2 linked regions of the Nothobranchius furzeri genome follow. The protein of the gene in region 2 binds, or shares a complex with, the protein of the main gene of each other region. Links are inferred from orthologs where the notes say so. Each region holds a gene or a part of one and is shown on either strand. Other genes may lie near its edges.

Region 1 (4,247 bases), on a different chromosome or scaffold from region 2:
ACAATAGCAGACCCGCTGAGGCTACAATGGAGCAGGGCTAGAGCAGCCTGCAGAGCAAAATCTTTTGCTACTGCTAGTTGATCTAGCTTCCTGGAAAAAATACTACCACTGAGCTGCTAGAGGCAGGTAGCTCTAGCACAATGTTACGAGACTTAAAACTGTAACAGTATATAAAACTAATTTTGCATGAACCAAAGTGACATTTTTGTGGGATTATAGATGGTTTTAGATGCTAGCTGTTAGCAGTTGGCCTATTAGTCACTAGGAAAAGGTGGTTTCTTAGCTTTTTTTTAACCTTTTATGGGGAAAAGATTATTGATGTTGGAAAAAGGGACAAACAACTTCACATCACAGAGGTTTTATTGTGAACAAAAACATTTTGACGGGTTCAGGAGTTTTTTTATCATCAGCCAAACAAAGACGTGAATTGAAGAACAATTTTTTGAATGCATTCAATAAATCATTGCTATCAATTATTTCATGTTGAACCAATTTCTCTATGTTCCCTTTAGTACTCCTCTCCCTCCTCCTCTCCCTCACCCTCAATGGAGTCGACTCCAACCTCCTCGTAATCCTTCTCTAGAGCTGCCATGTCCTCCCTGGCCTCAGAGAACTCTCCCTCCTCCATCCCCTCACCAACATACCAGTGCACAAAAGCACGCTTAGCGTACATCAGATCAAACTTGTGGTCCAGACGAGCCCAGGCCTCTGCAATAGCAGTGGTGTTGCTCAGCATGCAAACAGCCCTCTGGACCTTGGCCAGATCTCCACCAGGAACCACAGTGGGAGGCTGGTAGTTGATGCCAACCTTGAAACCAGTGGGACACCAGTCCACAAACTGGATGGTGCGTTTGGTTTTGATGGTGGCGATGGCAGCATTGACATCTTTGGGCACCACATCACCACGGAACAGAAGGCAGCAGGCCATGTACTTGCCGTGGCGGGGGTCACATTTCACCATCTGATTGGCTGGCTCGAAGCAGGCGTTGGTGATCTCAGCAACTGAAAGCTGCTCGTGGTAAGCCTTCTCAGCTGAGATGACAGGAGCATAGGTAGCCAGAGGGAAGTGGATACGGGGATACGGCACCAGGTTGGTCTGGAACTCTGTCAGATCAACATTCAGGGCACCATCAAAGCGGAGAGACGCAGTGATGGAGGACACAATCTGACTGATCAACCTGTTCAGGTTGGTGTAGGTGGGACGCTCGATGTCTAGGTTTCTACGGCAGATGTCGTAGATGGCCTCATTGTCCACCATGAAGGCACAGTCAGAGTGCTCCAAGGTGGTGTGGGTGGTCAGGATGGAGTTGTAGGGCTCCACCACAGCAGTGGACACCTGGGGAGCTGGGTAGATGGAGAACTCCAGCTTGGACTTCTTGCCGTAGTCCACAGACAGACGCTCCATCAGCAGGGAGGTGAAACCAGAGCCGGTACCTCCACCAAAGCTGTGGAAGACCAGGAAGCCCTGAAGACCGGTGCACTGGTCCGCCTGAGGACACAGAAAACAAATGAGTCATTTATCAGATTTATTACAGACTAAGTGTAAAAATATGACTTTACTCACCAGTTTGCGGATCCTGTCCAAGACCAGGTCGATGATCTCTTTGCCAATGGTGTAGTGTCCACGAGCGTAGTTATTGGCAGCATCCTCCTTACCCGTGATCAGCTGCTCAGGGTGGAACAGCTGGCGGTAGGTTCCAGTACGCACCTCATCTGGAGGCAAAGGGAAACTTTTAGTTTTCATTTGAAATTATTTGTGTATAATTTACAAAATCTCATGTTCAGCCAGTTTGGGTTACAAGGATTAGTGCTTAACCCAAGCCTAACCCTTACCAATGACAGTAGGCTCCAAATCTACGAAAACTGCTCTGGGGACGTGCTTCCCAGCTCCAGTCTCACTGAAGAATGTGTTGAAGGAGTCATCTCCACCTCCTAGAGTCTTGTCACTGGGCATCTGCCCGTCCGGCTGGATTCCATGCTCCAGACAGTAGAGCTCCCAGCAGGCGTTGCCAATCTGGACACCAGCCTGACCTACATGGATGGAGATGCACTCACGCTGGATAGAAGCAAAGAAGAAATGAGTCAGTTTTTAACATCACCTTTGTATCAACTGAGAATATTTAGCAGCTCCCCCTGTCTGTCAGAGCAGTCACTGCAGCCGGAGGAGGCTCCTCCCTGCACCACAATTCACGGGGGACAGAAAAACCTGACAGCAGCCCCCACAGAGGCTGCACACACCGGCTTCCTCCAGTCTTTTCAATCTGCTTTTGTCTATTTTATCTCATCTCCTTTCTCTTATGCAAAGATAGCCAAACATGCAAATTCAGTCGCTTGCGCACAGGCGCGTGCATTCAGTCAAATTGGAATATCCCAACGTTTTCCTTGAAGATGCTAAATAAAATGACTGCTCCTTCATGCCAGCTAATTACACATCAGAGAAAAAGTATTAAGTAGCTGAAAATAAATGGGGTTTTCGGTTTTGTTCATATCTGAATCAAATATATTTTCCGTTTTTTTTGTTTGAATCAAAATTCTCATGAATAAAAAATGATGGATGAAATTTCTCCGTCCAGCCCCGCCCAGAATTAAGTCTGATTTATTTGTTCACCTTTGACAATTAACATTTACACAAATAAAAAGTGTAATAATTCTGACCTTCTATAATAAAGAGGATGGCTTGTTCTCTCCGTGCCTTTTCTACGCCAGCCAGCTCATTGTTCTCACCACTTCACAATGAAACTCACATTGTGCGACTGCGGATCAATCTGTGCGTCAGCCGCAAAAATCCAGTATTCGTATTTCACATCAAACATCAATAAAACACGTTGCAGAGAGCTGATTATTCATCCAAAACCTCTCCGAAATTCAGCAACCCGTCGTCTAATAGCTGAATTAAAATGAAAATCTACCCGGTGGATTGGATTTGTTCTTAAATCAACTCACCATGTTTCCGCCGGAGGTTCGGAGAGGAAGAGGAGAAGAAAAGGGTGTTTGTAAAAACGGGGTGTTTGCGTTGCTTGTTGTACCCAACGGGGTCGATGCAACAACTGCTGAACGGGAGGGCGGTGCAGGCTGGTTTTATACAGGCAGGCAGGCAGGGGTTTGCTGTGAGGACAGAGGGAAAAGGGCTCTTCTACTGCCGCCGTTTGGTCAGGCTGCGCACATTTCCTCAGATAAGCATTTATTTATCTCTGCAGTTCGTTTGCATGCTGGTGTGATTAGAAATATCTGGTTTCACGTAGGGAGAAAACATGCAGACACAATCTGAAATAGCCTCAATGTTTCAAAACGTGTTATTTGCAATACATTTATTTTTGTAACTTATATTTTATTCATATCGGTAACATATATAATTATTATTTTTGATCAGCTGAAAATATGTAAAAACGGAGTTCAAACAAAGCAGGTTTATTGGGCATCCATCACAGCATCCACAACCACTTGGGTGTGGCATTTTCCCCACATCACCTCCCAAATGAAGGAGGTGGATGACGTTTTACGCTAAAGTGGGAGGAGCAAACTCTGTTCCAGAAGCTTCCATCTCCAGCTGCTGTGTCCCAGTGTCCATGCTGCAGGGAGCTTCCTTGACGTTCATCTTCGTGCCAGCTCTCCTCCCGCTTTGTCCCAGATTCTCTGCAATGATGTCATCGAGTGGGCCGATCACGTGATCTGCAGCCTCTGCTGTTCAGCAGAACAGAGGCTGGGTGCATCCATAACATGTATGTCTGTGGGTGCAGCCTGCTGGCCTGTTTCAAGCATCAGAGTGAAAGACATTGACTTGATTCCTGTCAGGGATGAAGTATCAGGAAGCTATTGCTGGAAAATAGTGGGATTGGATCAAAGCTGCTGAGTTTTATGTAGAATTTCTTGTCAGTCATTGAACAATTCGGCAAGGACACGTCACAGAAAGCAGGAATAGTCGAGGATGGAAGACAGGACAGGAAACAGTAATGGCTGCCAGAAACGTTCTCCTGCTCCTCCTCCTCTTCCTGCCAACAACAGCTGTGAGGCAGGGAGTGTCTGAGCAGCTGCTCAATAAGAGAGAGGAGGATGGGAATGCTGAAGGGAGTGGTCCTCCATGGCACAAAACTGACTGCATTGCATCCTTCCAAAGGGAGAATGTGATACCCAGCTATCACATTCTCCATCTGCCACGGATGAGTTTCTGCATCAGATGAGCCGGACTCAAGGAGTAAAGGGGAATAAAAAAAAAAACCAATTAACTCACTTAACCTTTGTTTAACATC
Region 2 (3,288 bases):
CTGTTGTTGGATCAGTATCAAGACTTGTGATTGCTGTAAAGACATTCGTCCGTCATTACGGCGACCGGAGATCCAGTTCCAGGTTTTAGCACTGAGTGACGTGGAGGCGCTTTTCTGCTATCGATAGAACAAAAGCTATATTGAAAGAGAATAAACCGTTTTTATTTAAAGGCATGTGTTGTTTTTACTTGTTTAGAAGCTTTTACTAAACTTTTCAAGTTATGACTAAAATCCAAATATTTCAAAGATCATTGTTGGTTTTCTTAGTTAAACTTAGTGGGTCAGGTCTGATTCATGTTTACTACTGGTTAATACCCTTATTTAGCTCCACCCTCATGAGGCTAGACTGAGCTGAGTCAGTCTGCAGGTGTAACAGGAGCTTTGTCACCATGTGGAAGAAATCTGAGGAACATTGACTTTTAAACACTTATTTAAAAAAAAAAAAAGAAGCAAAAATCAGCTCTAAATTTTAATGCAAAAACCGGTCCATGGTAGTAGAAGACGTTTGGTCACCATTCATAAAGAAGAAAGTGCTGAGTCACAACACAGACCACGGCACTCATTAAGTGTAGGTGTGTTCACTTTAATAAATAAAGTAGAAATTCAAGATGTTTTCCAGAACATTAAAACACTTGTGCAACGTTCATGAGCTCCAAACAGCTGCATTTGTTTAGGAGGATCCGGGTCAAAGTGCTCAGAGACAGTTCTGCTCTGACTGAACCTGTAAACAGCAGAGCGAGTCTCGGTAAACCTAAATAATCTCATCAAATCATGCTTTAATTTTGACGCTCAATTGTTGTGTGAAACAACAAAAAGCAGCAGTTACACCACAGATGAGCAGAGACCCATCGAAGGCACCACCCAGTGTCTAAGTCAGCCAACCTGGCTCTTAAATATTAAAACAAAGATACTGCTGAAGCACTTTAGCTAACAGAGGCACAGTTCAGCATGTAGGCAGGTACCGCTCCTCCAGATGTGCCATCTCACTTTGATTTGTGTGTTAAACATTCAGCCGCTGCCAGGAGACCAATAAGACTGAACATTCAGATTCTAAAATCTGTTTAAAACCATCTAAAGGCTTAAATATCTAAAATAAAGGAATAAAGCCAGAAAAGTAAAATCAGTTTTTTGGGTATGCTTTTAAAGAAATTCATATTTTTTACATGTCAGTCTGAAGCTCACACTTGTTCAGCTACATATGACACGAGACTCACAAAGAAGCTGATTAAAACCCAAATGCTGAACTGTTCCCGAGTGGCTATGGCGCCTTGGGTGAGCTCCAGGAAGGGTCCTATCACAGTAGCATAGAGGGACTAGTGGGCCATTCCCATCTGTACCGGGTCGGCCCGGGCCGGGTAGCCCCAGTCGGCCCCAGCCTGGCCCGGTTGATTCCACACATCCTTGTCTTAAGCCCATGTGGGCTGATTCTACCCACCAATCAGAGGCTTGCTCTAATGGAAGGTGTGAATGGGCTGATTCTACCCACCAATCAGAGGCTTGCTCTAATGGAAGGTGTGAATGGGCTGATTCTACCCACCAATCAGAGGCTTGCTCTAATGGAAGGTGTGAATGGGCTGTCAGCAGTGGGTGTGTTGGCCCTGGTCGGCCTGAAGCAGACTCCCTCGAGAAGAGGGTTGAGAATGAGCCTTGGTTGGCCCGGAAAAATACCAGGCCACCCAGATATGTAAACAACCTACGCTACCCGGCCCGGGCCGACCCGGTACAGATGGGAATGGCCCATAAAAGTCCACCAAGGACACTGTTAAGACAACACTGCTGATTAACGTCGGAAACATTGATATCTGGTTCTGAGTCCACTGGCACTTGATATTTTTAAAGATTCATGGCCTCAGCTACAGCTTCCCCTGGATTTATTGTGTCCTTGGTGTCCTTTTTTAAAGATGCAAACAATCTAAGCCATAAAAACATTATCTAAAAAAACAAGATATAAAGCTGAAACCAGAGACATTCAGTTTGTTCTTGCAAATAAAAATAAATAACTGCATAAATAAAGCGTGACTGTGAATATGTGAGTTACGTGTGTCACGTTGGTTACACAGAGATAATATTGAGGTAACGTTATGGGGGAAGGGGTGTTTAACTGCATTAATCTGTGATAGAAGCTACACAAACATGCATGGGACAGAAGTGAGGACGTAGATCGAGGCCTTAGTGTGTGTGTGTGTGTCCCTTTTGGTGGTGTCATTCAAGTTTTACGCTCTAATAAAGCGCTGATAATACTGAAGGTAAGAACCGAGGCGCCGCTTAGGGAAGAAGCTGCTCCAGCGCAGAGTCATCCAGCTCATTCACGGCGACGATATGGTCCAGGTGCTGCAGGTACCGCACCTGGTCACGCATGAAGTGTGGGGTTCTGGTCCGGGACAGCACCGCCAGATGACGCAGTCTCTCCACATCTTCATAGGACACCTGCAGAGGTGAAGAAGAGTTCAGGTCCTGTGGAAATGTAGAAAACTGATGGGCAGATAGGGGTACACACTTCACCTTTCCTAAAGAGGTCAATAACTTGAAGTCGACGGTCCTTCGATGCCGAAGGAGCCGCAGGATCCCGTCCAGATAAACCTGATCTTTGCTGAAGCAGCCTAAAACAAAAATATACTTTATTAAAGTGACATAGAGCAGCTTCGGTCTAAACCCACTGCAGTGGTTCTGCTCTCCACTTGTGATCAGAACACGTTGGCAGCATGTGTGAGCAGAGCCTTAGTGATGAGAGTCAGCCACATCAGCAGCAGGGCGGCTGTACTCCATCAGACTCTTACCTCACTTCTGCTGGAGTTTTCATCATTTAAATAAATAACCTGCAGAATTATTTCTACACCTTATGTTTTCTGTACAATCAGGTGTATTTTTTGCCTGAATCTTCGTAGATTAAGAAACAAAAGTTTCACGGAGACAGGAGTATTTATGTGTACTGACCGGGCTGCGATGTGTCCGTTTGTCCCCTCTTGGCACGCAGACAGTATTCCCAGCGGACGTCCGGATTCTCAACGAAGCATGCAATGTGGCTGAAGAGCTGGCTGAAGCTCATGCTGGAGGCGTGGAACACCGTGTAGTAGAGCAGCGCAGCACGCCACAGATATGGCTGCTTTCTCAGCAGTACGCTGTGCAGACTGGCCAGGCCCTCCTCCGTGGGATTGGCTGGTTTCAGGCTGAACTGCTTCCTGCCGTCTGTGGTGGCCCACGGCTGCAGGTTGTTGTTCACACCTCGCAGATAATGTGTGCCTTTGGAGAAACAAGCAGAAAAGGTTCATTTAGTTTTGGTCTAAAGAC

The links.
Region 1: the proteins of kiaa0895l (region 2) and tubulin alpha-1B chain are in contact, whole or in part, in a cryo-EM structure (PDB 7Z6S), measured with the Homo sapiens proteins. The link is inferred for Nothobranchius furzeri from reciprocal best matches to the Homo sapiens genes MATCAP1 and TUBA1B. Residues at the interface, in NP_001035805.1 of Homo sapiens: Lys219, Cys220, Trp223, Val226, Arg227, Gly237, Glu238, Val239, Val240, Val241, Gln242, Leu243, Met253, Met254, Val255, Glu256, Asn257, Ser258, Arg259, Pro260, Thr261; in NP_006073.2 of Homo sapiens: Asp345, Trp346, Arg422, Glu423, Ala426, Ala427, Glu429, Lys430, Asp431, Glu433, Glu434, Val435, Gly436, Val437, Asp438, Ser439, Val440, Glu441.

What each region holds. Positions count from the first base shown.
Region 1 is NC_091755.1:36,644,011-36,648,257, reverse strand, and holds tubulin alpha-1B chain, read right to left. Parts: upstream 3,104-4,247; 5' UTR 2,947-3,103; coding exon 2,944-2,946; intron 2,057-2,943; coding exon 1,834-2,056; intron 1,714-1,833; coding exon 1,565-1,713; intron 1,490-1,564; coding exon 509-1,489; 3' UTR 343-508; downstream 1-342. UniProt on the Homo sapiens protein: Tubulin is the major constituent of microtubules, protein filaments consisting of alpha- and beta-tubulin heterodimers. Microtubules grow by the addition of GTP-tubulin dimers to the microtubule end, where a stabilizing cap forms.
Region 2 is NC_091749.1:31,557,322-31,560,609, reverse strand, and holds the end of kiaa0895l (microtubule-associated tyrosine carboxypeptidase 1), read right to left. Parts: intron 3,241-3,288; coding exon 2,935-3,240; intron 2,601-2,934; coding exon 2,503-2,600; intron 2,428-2,502; coding exon 2,266-2,427; 3' UTR 568-2,265; downstream 1-567. UniProt on the Homo sapiens protein: Tyrosine carboxypeptidase that removes the C-terminal tyrosine residue of alpha-tubulin, thereby regulating microtubule dynamics and function. Also able to remove the C-terminal phenylalanine residue of alpha-tubulin TUBA8.